Linked DNA regions of Caenorhabditis elegans. The protein of the gene in region 2 purifies or fractionates together with the protein of the main gene of each other region. This does not show direct contact. Each region holds a gene or a part of one and is shown on either strand. Other genes may lie near its edges.

Region 1 (8,583 bases), on a different chromosome or scaffold from region 2:
TGAGCTGGAAGCCGGGGAAAAAGGGAAATAGGGGTAATTTGAGGCGCTGAATTCGAATTTCGCATTGAAATTTGAAATTTTCGATTTTTTTTTAAACAAAAACAAATTTTGTCTGAAAATCTCAAAATTTAAGATTTTCAAATCGAATTTTCAAAAATTTTCAATACGATTTTCGAACTCACCATCCTATTTTACCCCGTCACATCAATTTTCAGCTTGAAATTCACCAATGTCGTGAAATCAAGTGTTTTGGGGGACTGTAGTCGGTGTTTGCGTACTCTTGGTGCTACAGTAACCCAAAATTTCTCATTTTTGAGTTGAAAACCAGGGAAACCGGGGATAAGGGCCAATTTAAGGTGCTGAATTTGAATTTCACATTAAACATTTCAAAATTACAAGTTTTTTGCCAAAAAAAATTTTGTCTGAAAATCTCAAAATTTAAGATTTTCAAATCGAATTTTCAAAAATTTTCAATACGATTTTCGTACTCAGCACTTTATTTTACCCCGTCAAATCAGTTTTTAGCCCAAAATTCGCCAATGTCGTAAAATCTGGCGTTTTGGGGTACTGTAGTCGGTGTTTGCGCACTTTTGGGATTACAGTACCCCAAATTTTTAAAATTTCGAGCTAGAAGCCGGAAGAAACGGACTATAGGGTTACTTTTAACGCTGAATTCGAATTTCACATTGAAAATTCAAACTTACAAGTTTGGCGCCTCAAAAAAAAATTTCTCTGAAAATCTCAAAATTTCAGATTTTCAAATAAAAATTTTCAGAAATTTTTAATACGATTTTAGAATTCAGCACCCCATTTTACTCCGTCAAATCAATTTTCAGCTCAAAATTCGCAAGTGTCGTAAAATCAGGCGTTTTGGGGTACTGTAGTCAGTGTTTGCGTACTCCTGGAGCTACAGTACCCCAATTTTCTTAAAATTAGAGCTGGAAGCCGGGAGAAAAAGGAAATAGGGGTAATTTGAGGCGCTGAATTCGAATTTCGCATTGAAAATTTGAAATTCAATGGGAAAAGTGTGGAAAAATTGAAAAATCGATTTGAAACGAATTTTTTTGGTGGTTAAGTGAAAACTGAGGCATTGGGGTATAATTGAATTTATTTTTTTGCAATAAATTAGAGATATAAATAAATAAATGAATAAATATTTCAAAAATAATTACAATTGTATATGTTAAGTTGTCAAGGAAATGGATACGATGGAGATCAATGAAAAATGGAAAATTTTGGAAAATTGAATTTTTGCAAAAATTGCAGTTTTCAGATTCAGTTTTGAGGGAAAATGAGAAAAAATCCAATAAAAAATTCGGTAAAAATGGTGATTTTCAGTGCAAAATTTTAAAAATTCCTCAAAAAGTTGGGATTTCAGGGTGAAAAAATGCGAAAAATACAATAAAAATCGAGAAATTATCATTTTTTGCAATTTTCTCTACTTTTTCCTCTTCGTCGGCGTTCGTTTCGGCTGAACTCGGGTGGCTGCGGGTCTCGGCGCGATTGGAACGGGTACTGTATCCTCCTCTACTTGATCTACTTCTTCTTCTTCTTCATATTCCACGTCATCGTGTTGTTCCACGTGGCTGACGTGGTGGTGCTGCTGGGCATAGGAAGACGGATTTTGACCTGAAAATCGGGAAAATTGACTGAAAATGTGCAAAAATTTCATTTTTCTGAAAAAAACATATGCAAAATAGGTAAAAATAGGCCAAAAATGCCTAAAATCACTTTTTTTAAAAGAAAAATTGGCTGAAAATCAGTTTTTTCGATTAAAAAAGACTAAAAATTAGCTGAAAATACATGAAAACACTTATTTAATCGGAAAATTCATTTTATAAAACTGGAAAATTGGGGTTAAAATGCTTCAAAATCACTTTTTTCCCGATTAAAATGGCTCAAAAATGCTAAAAACTTGATTTTTTCCCATTAAAACCAGTAAAATCTCCATTTTTCAGCATTTTTGAACAGAAAATCACTAAAAAATGCAATATTTTACCGATTTTCCGCATAACTGAGCTACTTGACACTGGCTGAGGCTCTTCTTGTCCCATTCCGTGGGGTATTGCTCGTCCATCTGGCATATTCATAACGAATTGCTGAAAAAATATTAAATTTCGAACAAAAAAAATTTTTTAATCAAAATTTCTGAAATTTTCAATACGATTTTCGAATTCAGCACTCCAATTTTACCCCGGGAAATCAATTTTCAGCTCAACATTCGCAAATTTCGTAAAATCTGGTGTTTTGGGGTACTGTAGTCGGTATTTGCGTACTCTTGGGGCTACAGTAACCCAAAATATTCAAACTTTGAGCTAGAAGCACGGGGAAAAGGAAAATGAAGGTAATTTTTGGCGCTGAATTCGAATTTCGCATTAAAATTTCAAAATTACAAGGTTTTTGCCCAAAAAAAAATTTGTCTGAAAATTTCAAAATTTCCGATTTTCAAATCAAATTTTCTGAAATTTTAAATACGATTTTTGAATTCAGCACTCCAATTTACCCCGTCAAATCAATTTTCAGCTCGAAATTCGCCAATGCCGTAAAATCTGGTGCTTTGGGTTACAGTAGTCGGTGTTTGCGTACTCTTGGGGCTACAGTAACCCGAAATATTCAAAATGTTGAGCTAGAAGACGGGGAAACAGGGTTCTGGGGGTAAATTGAGGCGCTGAATTCGAATTTCGCACTAAAAATCTGAAATTCGCTGTGAAAAGTGCTGGAAATCGTACATTTGGCCCAGAAACATTTTCCAATTGCAGTGGGGTGTCCTGGATGATCAGAGGGTAGAGTTCCATGCCATTCGGAGCTGAAATTTGCTTTTCCGGAATTATTTAAAAACATTTTCTTAGATATTTGACAGAAAATCGAGAAAATTCACAATTGTTTTCAGAAAAATCGAGAAAATGTCAATTTTCACAAATTTTAATATAAAAATCGGGAAAATATCGATTTTCTCGGATTTTTCAGGTAGAAAATCAAATTAAAACCAATTTTTTCGAGTTTTTATGCTAAAAATCAAAAAAAATTTGAATTTTCTAGTTTTCTGCTGTAAAAATCAAATCTGGACCAATTTTTTCTAATCTTTACGGCAAACATAGGGAATTTTCAGTAAAATCCACAAAAGTTGACGAAATTTCGATTTTTTCTGAAGTTTTCACCAAAAAAAAAATCGATTTTCCTAGATTTTTTCCGTTCAAAATCGGTTTTAAACCATTTTTTCCAATTTTTGAGCTGGAAATCAAGAAAATTTCAATTTTCTGTTTTTTTTGTGCTGTAAAAATCTAATTTTTCTAATTTTTAAGGAAAAAAATGAGAAATTTTCTGGAAACGCCACAAAATCGGCGAAACTTCGATTTTTCCGGAATTTTCACAAAAAAAAATCGATTTTTCTCAATTTTTCCAATTTTCACGCTGGAAAATTCAGAATTTCATAAAAAATTCCGTACTTTCTTTCGCTGCAAAATGTTGTTTCGTCTTTGGATCCACATAAATCTGCATTTGGCCTTGTTGCTCCAAGGCGATGGCTCCAAGTGAATCTTGCTCAATAATTTCCTCGTGTTCTTCAATTTCTACTTCTTCCATCGGCATCGGCTCCATTGGCTCCTGAAAAATCGAATTTTTTGAGTTAAAAAATCAATTTTTGAGTTAAAAAATCAATTTTTGAGTTAAAAATTCAATTTTTGAGTTAAAAATTCAATTTTTGAATTAAAAATTCAATTTTTGAGTTAAAAATTCAATTTTTGAATTAAAAATTCAATTTTTGAATTAAAAATTCAATTTTTGAGTTAAAAAAATCAATTTTTGAGTTAAAAATTCAGGTTTTTAGTGGAAAAATCCATTTTTCCACAGTTTTCCATCCAGAAAATCCAATTTTCACCTCCATATAATATCCATCTGCGCGGGTATTCAATGTACCAGTTTGCTCATTCCATTCTTCTCCCAATGGAGCATTTTTCACAATTTCACTGCCATTTATCACGTATTGAGTCTCGGTACCTGGAAAATTGCAATTTTTTTCATCATTTTCCTAGAAAAATTGAAAATTTGGGCATAGCTTCCGCATCTCCGGTGACAAATGTGCTCTATTGCACAAATTGTTGGTTGGAATACGGTATTTATTGCATGTTTCAGCCGAGAATACCGATATTCCAGCCATCAATTTGGATAGAAGGACATGAGTCACAGAAATTTATTTTTGTAGAGAAACTACAGTAATCCTTATAGGAGTTATATGGCATTTTCAGAGCAAGTTTCGGTATTTTTCCGAAAAAAAGTCGCTTGAAACTACTATGCAAAGCTGCTGAGTTTCGCGAAAAATTCAAAATTTTGGGAAAAAAACGGTGAGAATTGCAATTTTTCCATATAAATCTTAAAAATGCATTATTAGTTTTTTTTTAACTATAGTATCCTTGAAAGTCATAGAACAAGTTGCAAGATTCGTAGAAAACTCGAAAAAATCATATATTTAACGCTAAAAATTCAAAATTAAGAATTTGTGCAACTTTCAGCAAAAAATTTAGAATTTTGACAAATTTTTAAAGGAAAATCATCATTCTCAGTGCTTCAAGCTCTGAAAAAAATTTTTAGGAATTTTTCCAGAGAAAACCATTTTTGTTCAGGTTTTTACTATTCTTCCCATTAATTTTTCAAAGCTTGAAGCACTGAGAATGATAATTTTCATTAAAAATGTGTCAAAACTCTAAATTTTTTGCTGAAAAATACTCAGAAGCCGAAATTAAAAGCCAAAAATTCTGAATTTTAAGTTTTTAGCGTTAAAATTATGATTTTTTCGAGTTTTCTGCGAATCTTGTAATTTTTTCTATGACTTCAAAGGATACTGTAGTTGAAAAAAACTGAAAAATGAATTTTTGAGATTTATGTGGAAAAAATGCAATTTTCACCGTTTTTTTACTATTATTTCGGCTTCTGAATATTTTTCAGCAAAAAATTCAGAGTTTTGACAATTTTTTTAAATGAAAAATCATCATTCTCAGTACTTCAATCTTTGAAAAAAAAACAATTCTTAGTCTAAATTTCAAGTTTCCGGTTTTTTCTATTTTTTCCATAAATTTAGTCTATTTTCTGTGAAATTTCTAGTTTTTTATTATTTTTTCCATAAATTTAGTCTATTTTCTGTGAAATTTCTAGTTTTTTATTATTTTTTCCATAAATTTAGTCTATTTTCTGTCAAATTTCGTTTTTTCTATTTTTTTCCATAAATTTAGTCTATTTTCTGTCAAATTTCTAGTTTTTTACTATTTTTTCCATAAATTTAGTCTATTTTCTGTCAAATTTCGTTTTTTCTATTTTTTTCCACTAATTTAGTCTATTTTCTGTGAAATTTCTAGTTTTTTACTATTTTTTCCATAAATTTAATCCATTTCCAGTCAAATTTCCAGTTTTTTTTTCTATTTTTCCATCAATTTAATCTATTTTCAGGCAAAATTTTCCGATTTTCACACACGAACATCTGCGTCCTTGCTCCGTATCGAAGAATAATGGCCGAACAAAAGGATCCATTTGAAATTGTGGAGGCCGTACGTAGTCTGGGTGTGTTCTGTGAATTGGTCCAGTGATCTTGTGAGCCTGACGGTACTTTTGAAGGAAAATTCGCATTGGCTCCGCGTAATTGTCGAATCCTGTGGCTTCCATCGCGGTGAGCAGGTCGTCTGGAAATTTTTTTATATTGAAAATTGCGGTTTTTAGGGTTTTTTGGGCTTTTGGGCTGTTTTTGAGTTTTTAAAAAGGTTTTCCATGCGAAAATTGTAGTTTTTGGACGATTTGCGGGTAATTTTAGACGGAGTTTCCCGGTTTTACCTGCAGTAATAGTCTTCCGCTTCGTAATATTGCATATTTCAGCGGCTTCCGAAGCGATAAAGCTTATAAACTCTGAAACACACTCTTGAGCACACTCCTTTGCGTCTTTTGCCAATTTCGCCTGCGGATCCATTTGAGTTTTCATGATTCGGACCACGTTAGCTGAAAAAATTGGGATTTTTGGAGAATTTTCAACGATTTTTGTTTTAAAAAAATTGAAAAATCTCGAGCTTGATGCCTTTTTGCAGAGAAACTTTCAATTCTTGAAAAAAAAATTACAAAAAAAATCGATTTTTGTCGAAAATTTATGTTTTTGAAAAAAAAATTGTAAAAAATTGGTCTGCTAGACTACAAACTACAATATTCGATTTAGCAGACCATTGTTGTTCTGAACAAAATTGGTCTGCTAGACTACAAACTACAAGTTTAGATTTAGCAGACCAATAGATATTGAAGAAGTTTGGTCTGCTAGACTACAAACTACAAAATTCGATTTAGCAGACCAAAGTGATTTTGAACAAAATTGGTCTGCTAGACTACAAACTACAATTTTCGATTTAGCAGACCCATGTGATATTTTTTCATTTTAAAGGGCAATTTTAGAAAAAATGGCGGTTTTTATCGGAAATTTATGAATTTTTTCACTTTTCAGTCTAGATTTTTCAAGAAATTTCAATTTTTCGTGTAAAATTCCGGGAATTTATCGATTTTCATCAAAATTTCCGCATGTTTTCCCATACCAATTGGCAAAAATCGTTCCTGATCAAGTAAAACTTGACTTTTATTCGGATGATGAAGCTCCATTGCTATTTCACTAATTGTTCGTGTATCCTCTTCTATATTATGAATTCCATTCATATCATCTTCTGTTATTTCTTCTTCTTCAGGCATTCCATGATCATGATCCTCCAGTAACATTCCTTCGTTTATGGGTTTTGGATCCATTTTGGGAGCTTTTAGACGGTGGACACGGGCTGAAAATTGCGAAAATTTGAAGAAAATAAGGTGAAAACAAGGAAAAATAGCAAAAATTCGGGGTTTTCAGCGATTTTCCGAGCTGAAAATGCTAAATTTTTAATTTTTTAGATTAAAAAACAGGAAAAATCAAGTTTCAAGACCATTTTTCAAGCTTTTCGAAGTGAAAACTCGTAATTTCTTCTTAAAAATCACATTGGTCTGCTAAATCGAAATTTGTAGTTTGTAGTCTAGCAGACCAAAAATTTTCAGAATTAAATTTTTTTAAAGCAATTTTTCAGCGAGAAATTGAACATTTTTCGAATAAAAATTAGAAAAATTGAAGTTTTTGGGACTTTTAGTGCAAAAATTGACGATTTTTGTGTTTTTAAGCATTTTTAAAGCTTAAAATTCGATGTCTCATATATTTTTGCCTGAAAAAAAGTGAAAAACTACAAGAAAAAAAGATAAAAATACGCATTTTGGATGAAATAACCCGAATACAGTGCTGCAAAAAATTTAGATAATGGAAATGAGCTGAAAATTGCGAAAATTTGAAGAAAATTGGGTGAAAACGAAGAAAATAGGCGAAATTCGGGGTTTTCAGCGATTTTCTGGGATAAAAATGATAAATTTTGTTTTTTTTCAATAAAAAAGCGAAAAAATCAAGTTTTAAGGCTATTTTTCAAGCTTTTTAGACTGAAAACTCTTCGTTTTTTCTTCTAAATCGGGTCTGCTAAATCGAAATTTGTAGTTTGTAGCCTAGCAGACCCAAAATTTGAATTTTTGCCAGGGAAAAAATTTTTCAGCGAAAAATTGAAGATTTTTCGAACAGAAATTATAAAAATTCAATTTTATGCGACTTTCAGCGCGAAAATTTGCAATTTTTGTGTTTTTTAAGGCTTTTTAAAGCTTAAAATTCGGATTTTTACCTGGAAAAAGTGAAAAACGTCAAAAAAATCGATAAAAATACAAGTTTTGGATGAAAAAACCGGGATATTGTGCTAGAAAAATCCTTGAAAAATGTTAGAAAATCAACAATTTATATGATAATGAATTCTATCGCAAAAAAAGCTATCAGAAGACGAAAAACAGGGGAAAATCTAGGAAAAGATCAATTTCAGACGGTTTTAAGGGGGATTTTCGGCGAGAAAATCAAGTTTTTCAAGCAGTTTTGGCTTGTTGAATGGCCGCAGATGGTCCGAGAAGCATTTGACGTTGCTGAGCCACTTGAGTCTTTTCCAAATCACTTCGTTCCTTTTCGATAATGTATGGAAGGAAGGCGATCAATGACGTTGTAGATACAACCCAAATTGTGCTTTTTGTAAGGGAAAACTGAAAGAAAATTGAGTTTTTTTGGAGTTTTCAGTGTGAAATATGAGTTTTTACTGTCAAATTGAGATTTTTTTACAAAAATCGATAATTTTTAGTTTTTAGAGCAGAAATTCGGGAAAACTGAAAGAAAACATATTCTTTTTTAGAGTTTTCAGTGTAAAATAAGCAAATTTTTAATTTTTTCTCTATTAAAAATTGTCAAATTGTTGATTTTCCGAGTGTTTTATAGCAAAAATCAATAATTTTTGGTTTTTAGAGGAATAAATAAGATTTTTTTGAGTTTTCAAATAAAAAAGGCCGAATTTTTACTTTTTTTCAGTTTAAAATTGTCAAATTGTTGATTTTCTAGATGTTATACTGCAAAAATCGATAATTTTTAGTTTTTAGAGCAGAAATTCGGGAAAACTGAAAGAAAATTGAATCTTTTTTAGAGTTTTCAGTGTAAAATAGGCAAATTTTCAACTTTTTCTCGGTTCA
Region 2 (5,436 bases):
CTTTTCGGCGATGACTTCAATTTACAAAGTGGAATAGAGGTTTTTCCCCGAAAATTTCTGCAAAATCACTTTTTTTTTCCAATTTTTCAGGATATTTCCTGTTCCTCAAACTACACATCAGACGAAGATGGACCAAAAGTGCTCACTACAATGAGAAATATGTTTGCGGAGCAGAAAACCGACGAATATGAGCTGGTCTACGACAATAATTCGCAAAATGTGCCTCAAAATTGTTCACCGAAAAATCAATATTCGCCCCCGCAATCTGTGCAACAAGCTCATTATTCGAATTTATCACATTTTCATCCTAGAAATCCAGAATTTTCACAAGAAATCGTGGAAAATCGAGTAATTTCTCCAAAATCTGAGCATCCGGAAGAAATAGAGGATCACGAAGATGATGAGGATGGCCAAAGTGAAATGGTACTGATAAAAAACCCCGATTCTAACAATTTTTGCCCTGAAAACATGAAAAATCATCAAATTTCAGCCAATAGGACGAAAATTCGTTTGGTTGAGGCTCACAGACTACAAACTACAAACCGCAATCATTTTAAATAGGATTTTATTCAATTTTCGCTTAAAAATTAATTTATACTATTAAAAAACCTAATTTTCAGTTGAAAATCGTATTAAAAAATTCGTTGAGGCTAAAAAAATTGTAGTTTGTAGTCTGTTAGCCTCACCCAAAACATTTTCGACCAAAAAAAAAACGGTTTTCCCCAATTTTTTGTATAAAAATGAGTAAAAACGGCTATTTCATGATATTTATTAACTTTTTACGATAATAACCTTCAATTTTTACGAAAAAAATTGGTTGAGGCTAGAAAAATTGTAGTTTGTAGTCTGTTAGCCTCACCCAAAACATTTTCGACCAAAAAACTGATTTTTCTGCAATTTTTTTATATGAAAATGACTAAAAACTGCAATGTATTAAGCTTATAACTCACTTTTTCAATCCTAAAACACCAAAAACTAACGCAAAACTGGTTGAGGCTAAGAAAATTGTAGTTTGTAGTCCCTGAGCCTCACCCAAAACTATTTTCGGCCGAAAAAACCGATTTTCTCCCGATTTTTCTTATAAAAATGACTAAAAACTACAATTTCATGGATTTCGCCCAACAATTTCGAATTTTCAGAAGCACAATTGCCCGGAATGCCCGAAAAAGTACACATCGGAACGACGTCTCAAGCATCATATCGTTGTACACCGCAATCCGGACGCCTATAAATGTCAAAAATGTGGATATTGCTATCAGAGCCCAGATAGTCTCCGGAGACACTGGAAGGTAGCAAAAAAATCGAATTTTCACTGAAAATTTGACAAAAAATTAATTTTTTTTTGTTGCAGAAAACTCCGAATTGTGACGAGTTTCCGCCGAAGATTAATGTGAAAACAGAGATTTTGGACCCGGATTCATGAATTTTTAAAATTTTTTTTGATTGTTATATTGTAAATTACATTTTTTTACTGTGTACTATTTCTGACACTAACTCGATTTCCCAGTGGCCTTATTCATACGCTCATTTCATTGATTTTCTCGGTGCATATTTAAATTTTTATTCAGTTTTTGATTGACAAAATTCATTTTAATTGCAATTTATATTGATTTTTCAACGATTTTCTCAGTTTTTTCCTCAAAAATTGCCCATTTTTATGCGAATACCTTCATTTTTTTTTCACCCAAAATGTGTAGTTTGTAGTGTGTGAGCCGCAACCAAAATATTGGTTGAGGCTGAGAGGCTATAAACTACAAACTGACACCGCCTCAACCAAGTTTTTTTGTTGAATTTTGAAGCTAAAATCTTTTTTCAGAGTTTTTTGTGAAAATTTTAACAAAAAAAAAAACAAAAATTCATTTGAAAATTAAAAAATGTGAAAAATTTCACGAAAAACCAAAAAAAATCCCGTTTTTAATCAGAAATCATGAATATTTTCAGATTTTTCGGATAAAAATAACAAAGTCTGTAATTTTCAACCAAAAAATGTTAATATCAGTTTTTTAGCGGAAATTATAAAAAAGATCACTTTAAAAAAATGGAAATTACGTATTTTTCCATTAAAAAGTCCGAAAACTAGCGATTTTCCAGTCGAAAAATCAAAAATTGCCTATTTTCTGCTGTGAAATACATGAAATTCGCATTAAAATTAAAAAAAAAAAACCTCCAAAAACTGATTTTTCCCTCAAAAGTCCCAAAAAATTTGGTTGAGGCTATGACATTTTGTAGTTTGTAGCCGAGGCACGCACACTACAAACTACAAAATTTTAATAATTTTTTTTCAGCATTTCCATCACAGCTTGAGTCTGCCCGTAAAAATCGTGTAAGAAACAAAATGTAAGTTTGTTGAGGCTCACAGACTACAAACTACAAAATTTTTTGTTTTTTTTTTTCAGGAATCCACGTGGAAATCCGTCGAAAATGCCGACTCAAATTGTGTTAAACAGACGTCCAGCAGCACCAGCAAGACCTCAAACAGTAGGATTTTGAAACGAAGAGACTACAAACTACAAACTACACAATTTTCAGACATTCACCTCACTGTCCCAATATCACATGTACAATACGGCGAGCACATCATCGGCTCCACCGCCACCACCAAATCGTACGTGCCCGGAAAAAAATAATTTTCTAAAAAAAAATTTTTTTTTAGAAAATTTCGGTCAAATTCGAGAAGCTATCCGAACAACTCAGCCGACAACTGTTCAACTTCCGCCGGACTGCAAAGTACTGTAGTTTACAGCTGTTTTTAGGACATTTGGACGACGTTTAAGGCCTTGAAACGGCTCATTTGACCGAGATTTTCCAAAAAAATTTGAATTTTTCGACCGAAAACTCGCTTTGAAGCTCGAAAATATTTTGGTTGAGGGTCAAAGACTACAAACTACAAAATTGCTTGGCCTCACCCAGATTGAAATTTTACGTTTTTTTGTTGTTAAAAACGCAATAATTTGCGTTTTTCATTATTTTTTAGCAGAAATTTGTTAAAAAATCGGTTTTTCCAGCCTAAAATGTTTTGGTTGAGGCTCACAGACTACAAACTACAACTTTTTCAGCCTCAACCAATTATTTTCTAATTTTTTGGCATTTTTCTCACCGAAAAATCTAGTTTTTATTATTCATACACGATTTTTCCGCCAAAACTACGGGTCTCGACACGACAATTGTTGTTATTTGAACGCAAAAAGGTATAAAAGATACTGTTCTTTCAAACTTTTGTTCCTGCGGTTTTTTATCGATTTTTTTGTAGTTTTTTCGGTTAAAAAAATTATTTATTCAATAAAAATTTCAACAAATCGTGAAAAAAAATTAAAAATCGATGAAAACTCCACAACAACAAAAATTTGAAAATACAGTAATCTTTAAAGGCGCATATCGGTTCGCGTTTAACAAAAAAAGTGTCGTGCCGAGACCCGGTACCGTATTCTTGGCACGAAAATCGCAATATTTTCGCGTCTATATAATATAACAATTAAGTTTTTAAAAGGGAAAATCACTGCAAAAATACGAAATATAATGGTTGAGGCTGCGAAAGTTGTAGTTTGTAGTCTGTGAGCCTCACCTCTGAGCCACGCCGGAATGCAAAGTACTGTAGTTTACAGCTGTTAAGGACATTTGGGACACGTTTTAGGCCTTGAAAATGCACATTTTTGAGAGTTTTTCTAAAAAAAATTTGGACTTTTTCAGCCAAAAACTCGCTTTGAAGCTCGAAAAATAATTTGGGTGAGGCTCAAAGACTACAAACCACAAAATTTCTTGGCCTCACCCAGATTAAAATTTTACGTTTTTTTTTTGTTAAAAATGCAATAATTTGCGTTTTTTCATCAGCTTTTGAAGAAAAAATTCGTTAAAAAATCGAAATTTTTTATCGAGTAAAATGTTTTGTAAAATGTTTTCGTTGAGGCTCACAGACTACAAACTACAACTTTTTTAGCCTCAACCAATTATTTCGTATTTTTTGGCGTTTTTTCTCTTCAAAAATTCAATTTTTATATAACATACACGAAATTGTGCAATTTTTTCGGCAAAACCACGGTACCGGGTCTCGTGACGATAATGTTTGTTAAACGCGAAAATGTATGCGCCTTTAAAAAGTACTGTAATTTCAATTTTCACCGATTTTTAATAGGTTCCAATAAAAAAAAAAACATATATTTACTTAATAAAACATAAATTTCTACAAATCGTGAAAAATATTAAAAAATCTATGAAAACCCACAAAAACAAAAGTTTGAAATTACAGTACTCTTTAAAGGCGCATATCTAATTCGCGTTTAACAAAAGTTATCGTGTCGAGACCCGGTACCGTATCCTTGGCGCAAAAATCGTGAAAATTTCGCGTCTGTGTAATATAAAAATTGAGTTTTTAAAGGGAAAATCACTGCAAAATTACGAAATAAACTGGTTGAGGCTAAGAAGTTTGTAGTTTGTAGTCCCAGAGCCTCACCCAATGCATTTTCGGCCGGAAAAAGCGATTTTCCTTTTTTTTTCTAATAAAAATTACTAAAAACTGCGATTTCATCAACTTTATTGCTTATTTCCAATAATAACCTTTAATTTTGACGGAAAAAAATGGTTGAGGCTGCGAAAGTTCTAGTTTGTAGTCTCTGAGCCTCACCCAAAACATTTTCGGCCGAAAAAACCCGATTTTCCTCCTTTTTTGTATGAAAATGATTAAAAAATGTAATTTCATTAGTTCTATCGCCTTTAAATCATTAAAAAAAACGGTAAATTTTATGCAAAAAAAAGTAGAGGCTAATAAATTTGTAGTTTGTAGTCCGGGAGCCTCACCCAAATCAAATCCCCATCAATTTCAGCTCGTCGAATACACGTGGCAAGAGAACGGTGAATCTCGAACGGTTTTAATTCCAATGTCGAATGATTCTACGGAAGATGACGTCAGAGTGAGAGAAAAAAAATCAATAATCAATAATTAAATAAAATAACAAAAATTTTCAGTCAGCACTTCCCCAATCGGTTCTAGAATCGATAAATCAGCATCAAAATCAGCTTAGACAGGGAAATGGTGAGGCTTAAAGGTGGAGAGACTTAGTTTTTTTTAGACCAAAATTGGTCGAAAACTACCGAATTTCGTAATGAGACGTTCTGAAAATTTCAAATTTCTCAAAAAAAAAAGTAATGGCGGTTCAAAGTTCAGCAAAATAAGGCCCATTTTCAGCTAACATAAAATCAAAATTTTTTCCAACTTCTCGGTGTTGCAACGTCTGTAACCTAATTTTTATTTATTCATCACTTTTTAATAAATATTGTGGTTTTTTACTAGGCGTTTATTCGTTGCTTTAAGTACATATACGGTCTTTGGGGCACAAATAAAAGTTACATTTGTGCCCCATTGACCATAAATGTACTTAAATTAACGAATAGACGCCTAGTAAAAAACCACAATATTTATAAAAAAGTGATGAATAAATAAAA
Region 3 (4,125 bases), on a different chromosome or scaffold from region 2:
ATGCTGATTTCCGTTTTTCATTGATTAAAAAAAAATTTTTGGAGCGTTTGAAAAATCTCAAGGGTTCACAAATGAAATTCGGGGATTTCAAGCTGAAATCCAAAGTCAGTGAAATTTTTTTTTGATAGATTTTCGGAATCAGGGGAAAATTTGGAGTCATTAAAAAATATTGGTACTAGTCCTAAATCACCCCGCCACTTTTTTTATTTGTGTATTATTTCCCCTCATTTTAATATTATTCATTTTAATAAAACGTGATGTCCATTTTCCATCTTTAGGCTTAGAAATGGCTATTTCCTAAGCCTAAAAATACAAAAACTCCACACGTTTTTATTTGAAAAAAAAGAAAAAAAGTGGCGGGGTGATTTAGAACTAGTACCAAAATATTTTTCAGGTTTCGGTACTCAGCCTTTGAAAGAGTGAATTTGTTAGCTAAAATACACTCAAAATTACCTTATCAACCAAAGCAACAGCAAAATCGAATCCCTCATCAAGACAATTAACATCTGCCCCAACTTCTACAACATGCTCGCTAATATCTCCTTTTACGCTGAATATTGGCGCTTTTTTACGTCCTCCTTTTCCGTGTCTTTCGAATGTCAGCTAAAATGGATTTTTATTTTCATTTGAAAGAAGGTGCTTTAGAACAAACGTTTTTCAAATCTTTTGGCCGATTGTGCACGAATGAGGCAACGATATCAGAATCTGCAAATTCTTTGTTGGATTCCACATTTCTCACGTGGCAAGCCGTCTTCTTCGCACTCAGCTCCTCACTTGACAACCACATTTCGCCTCAAATTTAAAGATTTCAAAGTAAAAGCCTGTAAAATGAAAAACAAAGAAATAAGAAAATATATGAATGTGCATATGAAACACAGTATTTTTAGACAAAAAAGGTATAAATTCAAGCTTTTAAAGGGCGCCAGGCGCCACGAACTTAATTTTAATACATAATATAAGCAAGAAAATATTATTATAAAGATCAATTGTGGTGAGATCGGTTGACTGAAGAATTTGAAGTTCTCTGGTGAAAGTCGGAATGCATGTTGGGATCTATAAAAGGTTAAAAATTGCACAAAAATCATATTTAGGAAAAAAACCGAAAACCTTGGAAACTGTCTTCACTCATATGGCCTGGGCCGTTTGTGGAAGTTGTTGGCACCGTTTTCGGAGGTAGAAAGTCGATGAGAAAATCGAACTGATCACTTTTTTGCACTGCGCTTGCTATGTCGGCTTTTTGAAGAATTCGTCGCCTTGCTTCTGACACGTATTGCCAGCCCATTGCGGTCATTTCTTCAATGAAAAACTCGGCTGCTTGAGCCATAAATATCGGAGCATCAGACGCGATCATCTGTAAAAAGTGTATGAAGATCGGCTGGAAAATGACACTACTCACAAAGTTGCGAACATCGTCGTCTATTCGCATAATCTTTTTCACTCTAGCCATGGGAACGCTCATGTTTTTCGACTTGTTCAGCATATCCTCTTCAGAAATCTCAGTCATTTTCTGTTTTTTTTCACGCCAGAAATCTTCTGTCATTTGTCTCATCGAGGCGTACTTTGCCGGTGGTATCGCATCATTGTGATGGATTAAATTATTATAAGGATGAACCGCACCTTCTACAATAGAAGGCATATTTATTGGATGCATGTTCGGCTAAAATGAAATAAAATAAATAAGTTTTTAAAACGAGTTGATTTTATTCACCGTGTAGGGATGTTCCATGAACACTTCTGATTGATTTGTCCCATCATTTTGTATGTATTCGGCAGTTTCGTTGTTTTCGGCGTGTAAAAGCTGAAATAAATGAAACATTTGCTGGGAAGTCGAAAATTTTAAATTGTATTACTTACATTATTGTCTAAAACTTCTGGGAATTGCGACATCACGGCAGATGCAAGAAAAATTAACTTTAAACTAATTAGAAAAAAATAAATTAAAACAACACTATTCTTCTGTCGTGAAATATTGTGCATTGTGTGCACGTACACCGAGGCGGAAGATTGCGGACTCGATCAACTGCGCTCTGTTGGACACGATGACAATTTCAATTCTGATTTTCATTTCTGACGTTCTTTCCTCATGAGAACCTCGTTTTTTCAGATTTTTACATCTTATACAGATTAAAAAATGTTTTCATTCAAAACTAGATATTTTCTGAATTCCAGAACATGGTTGAACCAACTGGTCCCGCCATCGTAGAGGATGAACGCACTAAGGCGCTCAACAGCTATAGAAGAAAATTGGCAGAGTGCCGTGACATTGAACAGAAGTTGAAGGACTTGCGAAAAAAAGAAAGCGAGATGACCAAACAATTTGACAAATCCGAGAACGATATCAAGTCGTTGCAATCTGTTGGACAAATTGTAGGAGAAGTGCTCAAGCAGCTCAGTGAAGAGAAATTCATCGTCAAGGCAACCAATGGTCCTCGTTATGTTGTCGGATGCCGTCGCAGTATTAACAAGGAAGAGTTGAAGCAAGGGACAAGAGTTTCGTTGGATATGACAACTCTTACTATCATGTAAGCTTTTAGTTTTTTAAACAAAAAGTCTTAAACCGAAATGTTTCAGGCGTCAGCTGCCACGTGAAGTTGATCCGCTAGTCTACAAAATGTCTCACGAAGATCCTGGTAACATTAGCTATTCAGATGTCGGAGGACTCGCTGAGCAGATTCGCGAGCTTCGTGAAGTTGTGGAGCTCCCACTCATCAATCCCGAACTCTTTAAACGTGTTGGTATCACTCCCCCGAAAGGATGTCTGCTTTTTGGTCCACCGGGAACAGGAAAAACTCTCCTTGCTCGTGCTGTAGCATCGCAACTGGATTGCAATTTCCTGAAAGTTGTCTCGTCTGCTATTGTTGATAAATATATCGGAGAGTCTGCAAGAATGATTCGAGAAATGTTCAATTATGCTCGTGACCATCAGCCATGCATTGTCTTCATGGATGAAATTGATGCGATCGGTGGAAGACGTTTCTCAGAAGGAACATCAGCAGATCGTGAAATTCAGAGAACTCTTATGGAACTTCTCAATCAGCTCGATGGATTCGATTCGCTTGGAAAAGTCAAGGTTATTATGGCCACGAATCGTCCTGATACATTGGATCCTGCTCTTCTTCGTCCTGGAAGACTTGATAGAAAGATTGAAATCGGACTGCCAAACGAACAATCTCGCTTGGAAATTCTCAAGATTCACTCGAACAAGATCACCAAACACGGCGAAATAGATTTTGAAGCTGTTGTCAAGTTGTCCGACGGATTCTCGGCTGCTGATTTAAGAAATGTGTGCACAGAAGCTGGTGAGGAGTTGAATCATAAAAATTGCATTCAAATTATCATTTTTGTTTCAGGAATGTTTGCCATCCGTGCTGAGCGTGAATTCGTTATCGACGAGGACTTTATGAAAGCTGTTCGCAAGGTTGGAGACGCGAAGAGACTTGAGACGAAGCTCGACTATAAACCTGTCTAATTGATTTTTTCGTATTTATTGGACCTTTCCCGTTTGCATCTTTTAACCATTATCCCGTTTTCAATGTTTCCGTGTAAAAAAAGAAGATCCGAATCATAAATTATTTTTGGCTGGTTCTTGACATGGAGTAGATTTCTCGATAAATAATATTTGTAGACCCAAATAATGACGAGCCTCGTAAAAAAAATCGCGAAATATTATAGTAATTTTTCGATTCTCCAGACTTTCAAAAAAAAAATTCAATTTTATTTGGCACAAAGGCACTTTTCGTGTAAAGATTCTCAATTTATCCTGAATAAAACCCACAAAAGGTCGAAAATTGTTCGATTTTTTTCAAAGAAAATAGAAAATGAAGCTTTTCAATTAAATTTTCGTTTCAGAGCAATGGCGAGCACCAGTATAAAATCTGCAATCGCTCGTATCGGATCCATCAAGTATACAGAACTGGAGGACCTGAAATCAGTGAGCATATCCCAGGAGGAACAAGAAGCAGTTAGAGTTGAGCTGGAAAAAGAAAAGGTTTGAGCTGATATATTCTGGAATGAGATTTATACTCGGAAATGCCACTACCCCATTCAAACACAAAATGTCTGGCTCGTTAATAATATAATTAGATCGGCTATTTGCGTCATTCGAGAGTTTCAATTCACACAAAA

Evidence for each region.
Region 1: the proteins of nfya-2 (region 2) and nfyb-1 purify together in Caenorhabditis elegans (affinity purification with western blotting; one study listed by BioGRID). This does not show direct contact.
Region 3: the proteins of nfya-2 (region 2) and nfyc-1 purify together in Caenorhabditis elegans (affinity purification with western blotting, with the first as the bait; one study listed by BioGRID). This does not show direct contact.

Annotation. Positions count from the first base shown.
Region 1 is NC_003280.10:460,575-469,157, forward strand, and holds nfyb-1 (Nuclear transcription factor Y subunit nfyb-1), read right to left. Parts: upstream 6,792-8,583; 5' UTR 6,763-6,791; coding exon 6,558-6,762; intron 6,332-6,557; exon of another isoform or gene 6,275-6,331; intron 5,980-6,274; coding exon 5,818-5,979; intron 5,670-5,817; coding exon 5,469-5,669; intron 3,997-5,468; coding exon 3,878-3,996; intron 3,604-3,877; coding exon 3,447-3,603; intron 2,807-3,446; coding exon 2,730-2,806; intron 2,100-2,729; coding exon 2,000-2,099; intron 1,630-1,999; coding exon 1,439-1,629; 3' UTR 1,093-1,438; downstream 1-1,092. Other genes in the region: W10D9.3 (MKRN2 opposite strand protein-like C-terminal domain-containing protein), read right to left, coding at 183-185; tomm-22 (Mitochondrial import receptor subunit TOM22 homolog), read right to left, coding at 7,936-8,106.
Region 2 is NC_003279.8:11,222,551-11,227,986, forward strand, and holds the start of nfya-2 (Nuclear transcription factor Y subunit nfya-2), read left to right. Parts: upstream 1-2,285; 5' UTR 2,286-2,335; coding exon 2,336-2,337; intron 2,338-2,396; coding exon 2,397-2,478; intron 2,479-2,529; coding exon 2,530-2,605; intron 2,606-2,653; coding exon 2,654-2,727; intron 2,728-4,817; coding exon 4,818-4,904; intron 4,905-4,959; coding exon 4,960-5,026; intron 5,027-5,436. Other genes in the region: Y53H1A.2 (C2H2-type domain-containing protein), read left to right, coding at 1-39, 91-423, 1,140-1,289, 1,352-1,423. UniProt on the Caenorhabditis elegans protein: Component of the sequence-specific heterotrimeric transcription factor (nfya-2-NF-Y) which specifically recognizes a 5'-CCAAT-3' box motif found in the promoters of its target genes to regulate their expression and control cellular identity in particular tissue types.
Region 3 is NC_003280.10:41,707-45,831, reverse strand, and holds nfyc-1 (Nuclear transcription factor Y subunit nfyc-1), read right to left. Parts: upstream 1,926-4,125; 5' UTR 1,888-1,925; coding exon 1,855-1,887; intron 1,799-1,854; coding exon 1,709-1,798; intron 1,658-1,708; coding exon 1,397-1,657; intron 1,352-1,396; coding exon 1,108-1,351; intron 1,054-1,107; coding exon 983-1,053; 3' UTR 915-982; downstream 1-914. Other genes in the region: rpoa-49 (RNA polymerase I associated factor, A49-like protein), read right to left, coding at 454-603, 653-787; rpt-4 (putative 26S proteasome regulatory subunit 10B), read left to right, coding at 2,170-2,522, 2,572-3,299, 3,351-3,469; F23F1.10 (Reverse transcriptase domain-containing protein), read left to right, coding at 3,854-3,988. UniProt on the Caenorhabditis elegans protein: Component of sequence-specific heterotrimeric transcription factor (nfya-1-NF-Y and nfya-2-NF-Y) complexes which specifically recognize a 5'-CCAAT-3' box motif found in the promoters of its target genes to regulate their expression and control cellular identity in particular tissue types.